Zea mays: one gene and its partner. Each later gene encodes a partner of the first gene's protein in a complex. Links are inferred from orthologs where the notes say so. Each region holds a gene or a part of one and is shown on either strand. Other genes may lie near its edges. The genes, in order: DNA topoisomerase 3-alpha-like and RecQ-mediated genome instability protein 1-like.

The links.
Region 2: DNA topoisomerase 3-alpha-like (region 1) and RecQ-mediated genome instability protein 1-like share a complex: the UniProt entries of both Arabidopsis thaliana proteins name them as parts of the RMI complex. The link is inferred for Zea mays from reciprocal best matches to the Arabidopsis thaliana genes TOP3A and RMI1.

What each region holds. Positions count from the first base shown.
Region 1 is NC_050096.1:13,716,464-13,720,289, reverse strand, and holds part of DNA topoisomerase 3-alpha-like, read right to left. Parts: intron 2,645-3,826; coding exon 2,570-2,644; intron 1,944-2,569; coding exon 1,854-1,943; intron 1,708-1,853; coding exon 1,603-1,707; intron 1,029-1,602; coding exon 994-1,028; intron 913-993; coding exon 783-912; intron 619-782; coding exon 566-618; intron 491-565; coding exon 394-490; intron 302-393; coding exon 263-301; intron 134-262; coding exon 55-133; intron 1-54. UniProt on the Arabidopsis thaliana protein: Releases the supercoiling and torsional tension of DNA introduced during the DNA replication and transcription by transiently cleaving and rejoining one strand of the DNA duplex.
Region 2 is NC_050097.1:70,867,403-70,871,328, forward strand, and holds the start of RecQ-mediated genome instability protein 1-like, read left to right. Parts: upstream 1-1,200; 5' UTR 1,201-1,218; coding exon 1,219-1,965; intron 1,966-3,926. UniProt on the Arabidopsis thaliana protein: Essential component of the RMI complex, a complex that plays an important role in the resolution step of homologous recombination, in a process called Holliday Junction dissolution, to limit DNA crossover formation in cells.

The DNA of each region.
Region 1 (3,826 bases):
AACTAAACAATAACCAACATAAATCAGGGTCAACAAATGGGACTCTAAGATGACCTGGTGCGCAGATAGGACAAACTTGATTAGTTACAGCCGCTTCTGAAAGAGATCCTGGGAGCCATACCACGTTTCTACACTGAAAAATCAACACGGCTATTAATGTCAAACTCATTGCAGAAATTACCGTGTCAGTGACTTCAGTTCTACGTTCCATTTTCCAGCATAATAAGGTAATTTAGTTCTATCAAAATACCATGTTACTCACTTGTGGATAACTTCGGCACCCAACCATAAATTCACCACTCTGACAGAAAAGAAGAAAAGTTCAAGCATTTATATAGAGTAATGCCAATTTCTCTAGAAAAGAAAGAAAAGTGTCACTACGGAACAACTTACCGCCCTTCGCTTAAGCAACATTTCAGATCCATTGCATGCACCACAAGGCCTCACAACCTCTACTGGATTTTGAGTTTCATTTATAGGCCTATTAGACCTAGAAAATAAAAGGGCAAGTTCAAGGCAGGAATTCATACAAAGTAAAGAATGGCTTATGAATCCAATCAAACACCTTGCAAAGAATGTCCCCATTGCATCAAGGAGTTTTGCTTTCTTCACCCTTGCCTGTATAGCACCAATAACCACCATCGAATCAAATTACAGTATACAGATTCAGAAATGTGTATAATAAAATAGTCGCAATGTCATTGTTTTGTTTCTTTTGCGATGGTTTTAATATTACAATAGTATGTACATGTATCATGAAATACAAGAAATTTACAACTTACGTCAAGAAAACAGGCCTTCATCTGCTGCAAACAACTCTCAAGTACTTCTGATTTACTCTTAGTACCCACGCTAACTGATTTCATATCAGCTTCCATCATTGATCTTAAATAAGGCTTCCAAAGCTCATACCTAAAAAGTAGTGTTTGAGCAAAGCAACCAGATCATCCTTTATATATTCAGTAAGTGCAGCAACTTTAAGAGTCAACTCACCCCATTTCATCATAACCCATCACCAATGCCTCACCCTACATTTTTCCCAAAAAATCGTAAGTTTGTTTCATTATTAAAAAAGAAAAAGATTATGTTTCAAGAAGACAAATGAACTCAAAAGTTGGCAATATTACTCATGAATTGGAATAATTAATCTTATATAATGTGGAATAATCACGATCTTACTTCTAAGCCATAGGCTCTAGCTCATTGTTATTTGCGAATTCACAACAAAGTGGATCATCAGAAACTATATCAATGGAGGGGGGGGCAGAACAAACGTCATTATTAGATTAAAATGCAAGTATACCGTGGAAAGTATGCATCTCTTACATAAACAAAAAAATAAAAATTGCTTTTGGACATCAAATAGTAGAACTCTCATAAGGATAAGAGTACTTTCCGCACAAAAAAAGAGGATTTAATGGAGGCATACATGGCTCTAGTGATCTGGATACTATGCTACAGTATGCTAGCCAAAACAAGAATGCAGGTCTGTGTTTATTCTTTTTTAGCATAACTTTATTTTTTTCAAGAAGCAAGCATTCCATAGTGAAGACTGTAGATGAAAAAAAGATCAAATAAGATAGTTACATGGCATCTACATACAAGATTTGTCGGGGAGAAACGTGTGTTTTCATCTTTGGTTGCATAACAACGGTCAAGCAACTTTTTTATGTGATCATGCATGGTTGCATCAGTGCCAATTCCTGCCTGGAAATATAATAAGAAAATGTCAAATCTGCATGATTTTAAATTATGGATATGTAGATGCATTAAGTGGCACAATCCACCAATTCTGAATACGAAGTTATTGCCATAAAAAAATACAACGTGGGTTAAAAGAAGGATTTTTTTACTTTATCCATACAGCTAAGAAGGTCGGCTTCAGCCAGAAGAGGCGGTGGCCGAGTCACTCCAGAATCAAGTGTTAAAGTTGTCGGAACAAACTGCATGATTTTGAATTGATAGGTCAAGTTAGTTTTGTATTTGGTTAATAAAGGATACAAAAAGTTGGATATCAATGTCATCTCTAAGATAAATCAAGCAACTATGTTTCTCGAACGCGCACGAGGCGTCATTATATTAAGAAGAAAAATAGAGGTCCACAATAGACCCAACTAAGGCTATTTCCAGCAGCTGCCGTATCTGAGTTTGCATCGGCAATTTGCGCAATCAAAATACACTGTAGCACATCCAGTAGACTGTGTATGTGGCTACACATCATCCACGCTCCCTTCCTTCGTGCCACATATTCACGCGTTCTCTCTCCTGCTCGCATTCTGCTGGAGCACCGCTTCATTTTACGAGACGTGAATGGTTCGGCCTAATATTGAGTAACTCCATACATATTGCAACAAATTACACACGGCTGCACATATTGCATATTTTTAGATATACATCATTAGTAATATTAACTTATTAATACAGAGAAAGGGCCATATTTTCAATTCATATTATGAATTTATCTGCAGTCTTTAACCAGTTTTTGTTAACCGTCATGCACAATAAAATCTTAGTAAGAAAATGACTTAACCAAAAAAAATGTGCAGTGTGAAATATAACTACAGCAAACCTGCTGCCCAATGTTGTATGTTGGAAGTAACGTTCCACCCCATGAGTCAAAGCGGTAAACATCCAGATAATTTTTCTACAAGAAGAAAACATTTCTTTGAAAGAAGAACAATCGCCAGATCCAGGTGAAGCAACTAATGGAAGCATCCTATTATCAGTATGAATTTTCGTGATAATACATAAATAATATATGAAAGTGAAAAAAAGATGACTTGCTGAGGTTCCTTGGGTACAACAGTTTTTCCTGTATCCACGGTTAACTGGTTTACTAATGAACTTGTTAAATACTTCCTCTGTTCCAAATTATAAGTTATTCAGGCTTTTCTAGTTGCATAGCTTTTGCTATTCATCTAGTTATACACTATGTCTATACCTGAACAACTTATAATTTGGAAAGGAGAGAGTACATATTATTAAATACTACCAAATATAAGGAAGGAACAATCGTGAACTGATAGAGTGAATGCATTAACCAGTTCAACTCAAACCATTGTTATTAAAACTTCGCTTAAACGTCGTTTAAACGACAAACGTCCGGTCGTTTTAGCAAAAACGCGTAGAACGTCCGTTTATCACGTTTAAACTTCGCTTAAACGTCGTTTTCTCGTTTTCGGACATTCTAGGCGTGTTCAGAACGTTCTACGTGTTATTGGGCCTTTCACAGGCCAAAAAATACACAGGGCTGCCAGGCGTCCAGTGCTGACAGCCTCCCTCCTCTCCTCTCCTCTCCTCTCCTCTGCCTCCTCCTCCCTCTCCATCCTCCAACATTCCAGCGCTGCCAGGCCAGTGAAGCGCCACCCTCCCTAGTTTTAGACTTTCAATCATCAAGAGTTCCAGGTTCAGTCTTCCAGTTCAGACAGTGATGCCCTCCCTAGTTTCAGACTTTCAGTCATTAGGAGTTTATGGTTACTGATCATATATACAAGTTGTAACTTGTGTGGTTGAACTTGATCTGTTTCATTTTGTTTTGTGAACTCAAACTCAAGTACTTAACTTATGTATGAACATATTCTATAATTGAAATTTTATGTAATGTCTGAAAAGACGTTTCAACGTTCGTTCATAACGTTTTAACGTTTTACCGCTTTAATAACCATGACTTAAACACTTCAACACCCCCACTCACATGCAGCCACAAAGAAAGGTACAAACGTGGAAATAAAGGGGCAGAGGCACAAATAAAGCCTCTGCCAGGATTCAAACTCGAGACCTCTGACTCTGATACCATGTTAGAGTGGACACACTGACCAGTTTAACC
Region 2 (3,926 bases), on another chromosome or scaffold:
GAGCTACAGTCGGTAACACCGTCCTACCCAAAAGCATCTCGAGGGGTAACCCTGGGTGCGCGGTCGGGTCCCAAACACCGACAGTGGGGTCTGAACCCATACCCTGATGGAAGAAGGGCGGGATACACTGGGTGAAGTTGTCTAATCAATAGAACATTATGCTCAGATGTTTTTAATATTGAATATAAATTGTATATATGTATATACATTTTTCTGTAAAATAAAAAATATAATCGTGTCGGGCCGGACCAGCACTACGGGCCCAGGCTACAGCCCAAGCACGACACGACGTTTTTGGCTCTTACAAGTATTAGGTCGTTTCTGATACCACATTGGCGCAATGGACTCCATGATGTTTGAGGTTGATGAATTGGATGGAGCAACAATGATTTGTCACACTAACAGTAAAATGAAAGATTATTTGTTTGTTTTAAACGTCAGTAACTGCTACGTAGTAGCATAATTTATATGGAGCGCATCCAGTTTTTATTGCTCCCTGACTTTAGCAATCACTCCATATTTTGATCCATTTTTTTATAAGTTTGAGTTCATGTGACTTATTTTAGAAACTTGAGCTCACAAACTCTCTTATTTGGTTTTTGTATGGTGAAATTATGTCATTTTATAATCTCTGTTCGTTCAGTCAATCGTTGTGAACTCTTTTCTAATCGCTCACTTCATTGGTCGTGTTGTCACATGTCATATTGCATGGAGTAAACAATAACATCAGTTAGCCAAATTAAGTAAAATATTATACGGAGAGCAGAGACAATCAATAAAAAATCTTGATTTTTTTGGTGAATAGTTTACGTGGATATTGTTGTAAGCCGTCGCAACGTACGAGCAACCGATTAGTAAAGATCAAAATGATACTATTTAACCTTTTGGATGTAAATTTACTCCTTAACCTTTTATAAATCTATAATCATACTAATTAATTGTTCTACTGTAGTGGTATATAAGACTTTGTATATATCTCTAGCTAATATAACACGCGCGCTCTATCGACTAGTACTCTAATTGAGCCGAAACCAGCGACCCTAAACCCTTAACCCTACACGTCATCCTCATTTCTCAGTTCCTTATCGGCGTCCTCCTCCGACCTCCCCACGTTCGACGGTTCGAAGCCTCGGAGGGAAACCACCAAAAATTCTCCCAAAACCCTTCGCTCATTTGGTTTCCATATGAAACGACCGCCAAAAACTTCCTTCCCAAAAAATGAGGCGCCGGAACCTAATTGTGCATTCTGATTCCGACGAGGACGACGGCGAGGGCATGACCACCGCCACAACCCCCGCCTCAGTTTCAGCTTCCGTCGCTAGCGGCGGCGTAAGCGGCAGCGGAAGCGTCGGCCGGCCCTCGCCCCAAAACCTCAGCCCCCTACCAGTCCCCTTCCCGTCACTCTCGCTATCTTCTGCCCCCTTCGTCATCTCCGATGACGACGAGGACGTCGACGAGATCGTGGACCCTGACGGGGACTCTCCCATCGTTGACGCCCCTGAGGTCTTCTCCCCGCCAGCTCCTCCCGCGCTCCATGCTCCCGCTCCCGCTCCCCCTTCCCCTCCCCCTCCTATCACTACCCCGTCCCAGACCCCAATCCCGACTCCACCTTCGGCACGGACCCCGACCCCGACTCCGCCTTCGGCGCGGACCCCGACCCCGACTCCGCCTTCGGCGCGGACCCCGGCCTCAATAGCGCCTCCGCACCCGTCCCCGCTGAGCGGCCGGTTGCGCCCGGTGGACGAGTTCCTGCGGCGGCTCGGGTTGCTTCTGCGGCCGGACTGGCTCGAGTCCTGCGCTGCGGGGATTCCCGGCTTCGACGGCCTCGGTGGTGTTGAGGCGCAGGCCAGGCGGTGCTTCGAGCAGTTTCTCTTCGCCGATATGAACTCTTGCGGTGCTGGGGTGCTGCCGGAGGGCGTCGGGGGCATGCACGCTGAGTTCCTTGATGGCCCCTTCGTGCTTCAGGTTTGACATTGCATAATCTAATTTGTGAAAATGGCATCTTACTTTGCCCTGCTGAGCTATTTACACTTGAGATCCATACTGTTTCTATGCTCCTATTGTGATTTAACTAATTATTAAATCCCCGAAAAATTTGTGGATACTTCTGATTGGTGTAGAATGTATTGATCGAGAAAACGAGGTGTTATAGCAATATTCAAGTTCTTGCTATGAAATTGCTTCTCATTGGTGATCAAAATGGTGAATCAACTTCACATGCTTAAATCATCTTCAAATTTATGATGAAATTCAAAGCAGTTCTCTGTCCATTCCACTCGGTTCCTCACCCTATGCCATACTATTTCTTCTTCTTCTGAATCGAGTAAATAATTAGAAAGAAAACAGAGTGTTGGACACTAAATTTGGCACATGGACGGTCTGGCCTTGTGACCTTGACAGTGCGCAGGAGTAGCCTGAACGGTTCACGATTATAGATTAATTCAGGATAGAGTCCTTATCTTGAGTGAAAGGGCCTCTTGACGAGTGGGTTAGGTGGTCTGAGTAGCACTCCTTAGGTCCTGAGTTTGAACCCTAGTGGGGGCGAATTTCAGGCCGAGGTTAAAAAATGTCACTCGTTGCTTCCTCTGGTCGTGTGCACACGAGATGGACTGACCTATGGAGGCGGATCCTTGTGTAGGGGCTGAGAGGGCTCAAAGCACTAGTAAAAATCTGGTCAATAGGGGGCGGACCCTCATGTTGCATGAGGGGCCAGCTTTCGTGACCTTTCTCGGTCGAGGCTCTAATTGAGCTTCTTCTTAATTTAATACCGTGGGGGCGGTCTTTCCCCTATCGGTCGAGTTTTTTTAGATTCCTTATCTTGTGTGTGGTTATCCTAACAATCTCACGAGAAATTGTTGGATCTCTCATAGGAACGGGTCCAGATCTCCACACTATATATATGAAGGGGTATGACCGATTCAGAACACAATCCAATTACCTTATTTATCTTCATGTCTTAGGTCTATAGCGTAGCTTTAGTTGTAGTTCCCCAATCTCAATCTCCATCTCTCTTCGACTCTACATCGTCTAGAGGCGCTTTGGGTGGCCTGCCGACCCCGAAACAACTCTACAGTCTCCTCCCCAACGGGGTCTCTCCCGGGAGACGAGATCTAGTTTAACCTGAGAGCTCTCTGCGCCATCGCGGATGGTTCGCCGTCCACCCGTGGATGGTCTGGTGCCTTATCACAGACCGTCCGGCACACCACTGGCTCGTAGAGCAGAAATAGAGGTCGAGTTCAAGACCGCATTATAGAGCCAACCTCAAGATCTTGCACGCCGCATGGAGGCTTTAGAGTTTGTTGGCATTTGACCCCAAAAAGGTGCCAACACAGATATAAAGCCCTATATCTGTAAGCTAAGGCTACCACCAAATCAACGCTACACGAAGCAACAGATACAAGATGCACGAAGCAACAGATACAAGATGAGCAGAATTGAAATTCAAAGTCAGTTCTAACAAACTCCATTACTCTACTAAGGCACCAACTATCAAGCTACCACATCCGACTATGACTGATAGTATTGTAGTCCACAAGATCGTTCTCTTTACACCAAAAAAACTTTCCAGAGAAGATCAACGGTTGGCCGACACACGATCTTCTACTAGTTTGCTTGATCATCAGCATCCCTGTGGGTTTCTTCTATCTCCATCGGCACCGAACTGCTTTGCACCAGCATCCTTGTAGCTATCTGAAGCATAATATCCACACTTTCCAGTAGCATTCCTCGAGCTTCCTTGGAATATAGACCTTCCCACTAATTCATAAGAGCTCACAAAGGATTTCAGCAGGATTCCGAATGAACTTATTCTTATAGCAGGCTTTGTTTCTCATTTTCCAGGTGGCCCAACAGATTGCTGTGACCCCAATAGTGTAGAAGTGTCGCCAATTTTGAACCCATCTACAATACTGAGATCTGTGCCATAA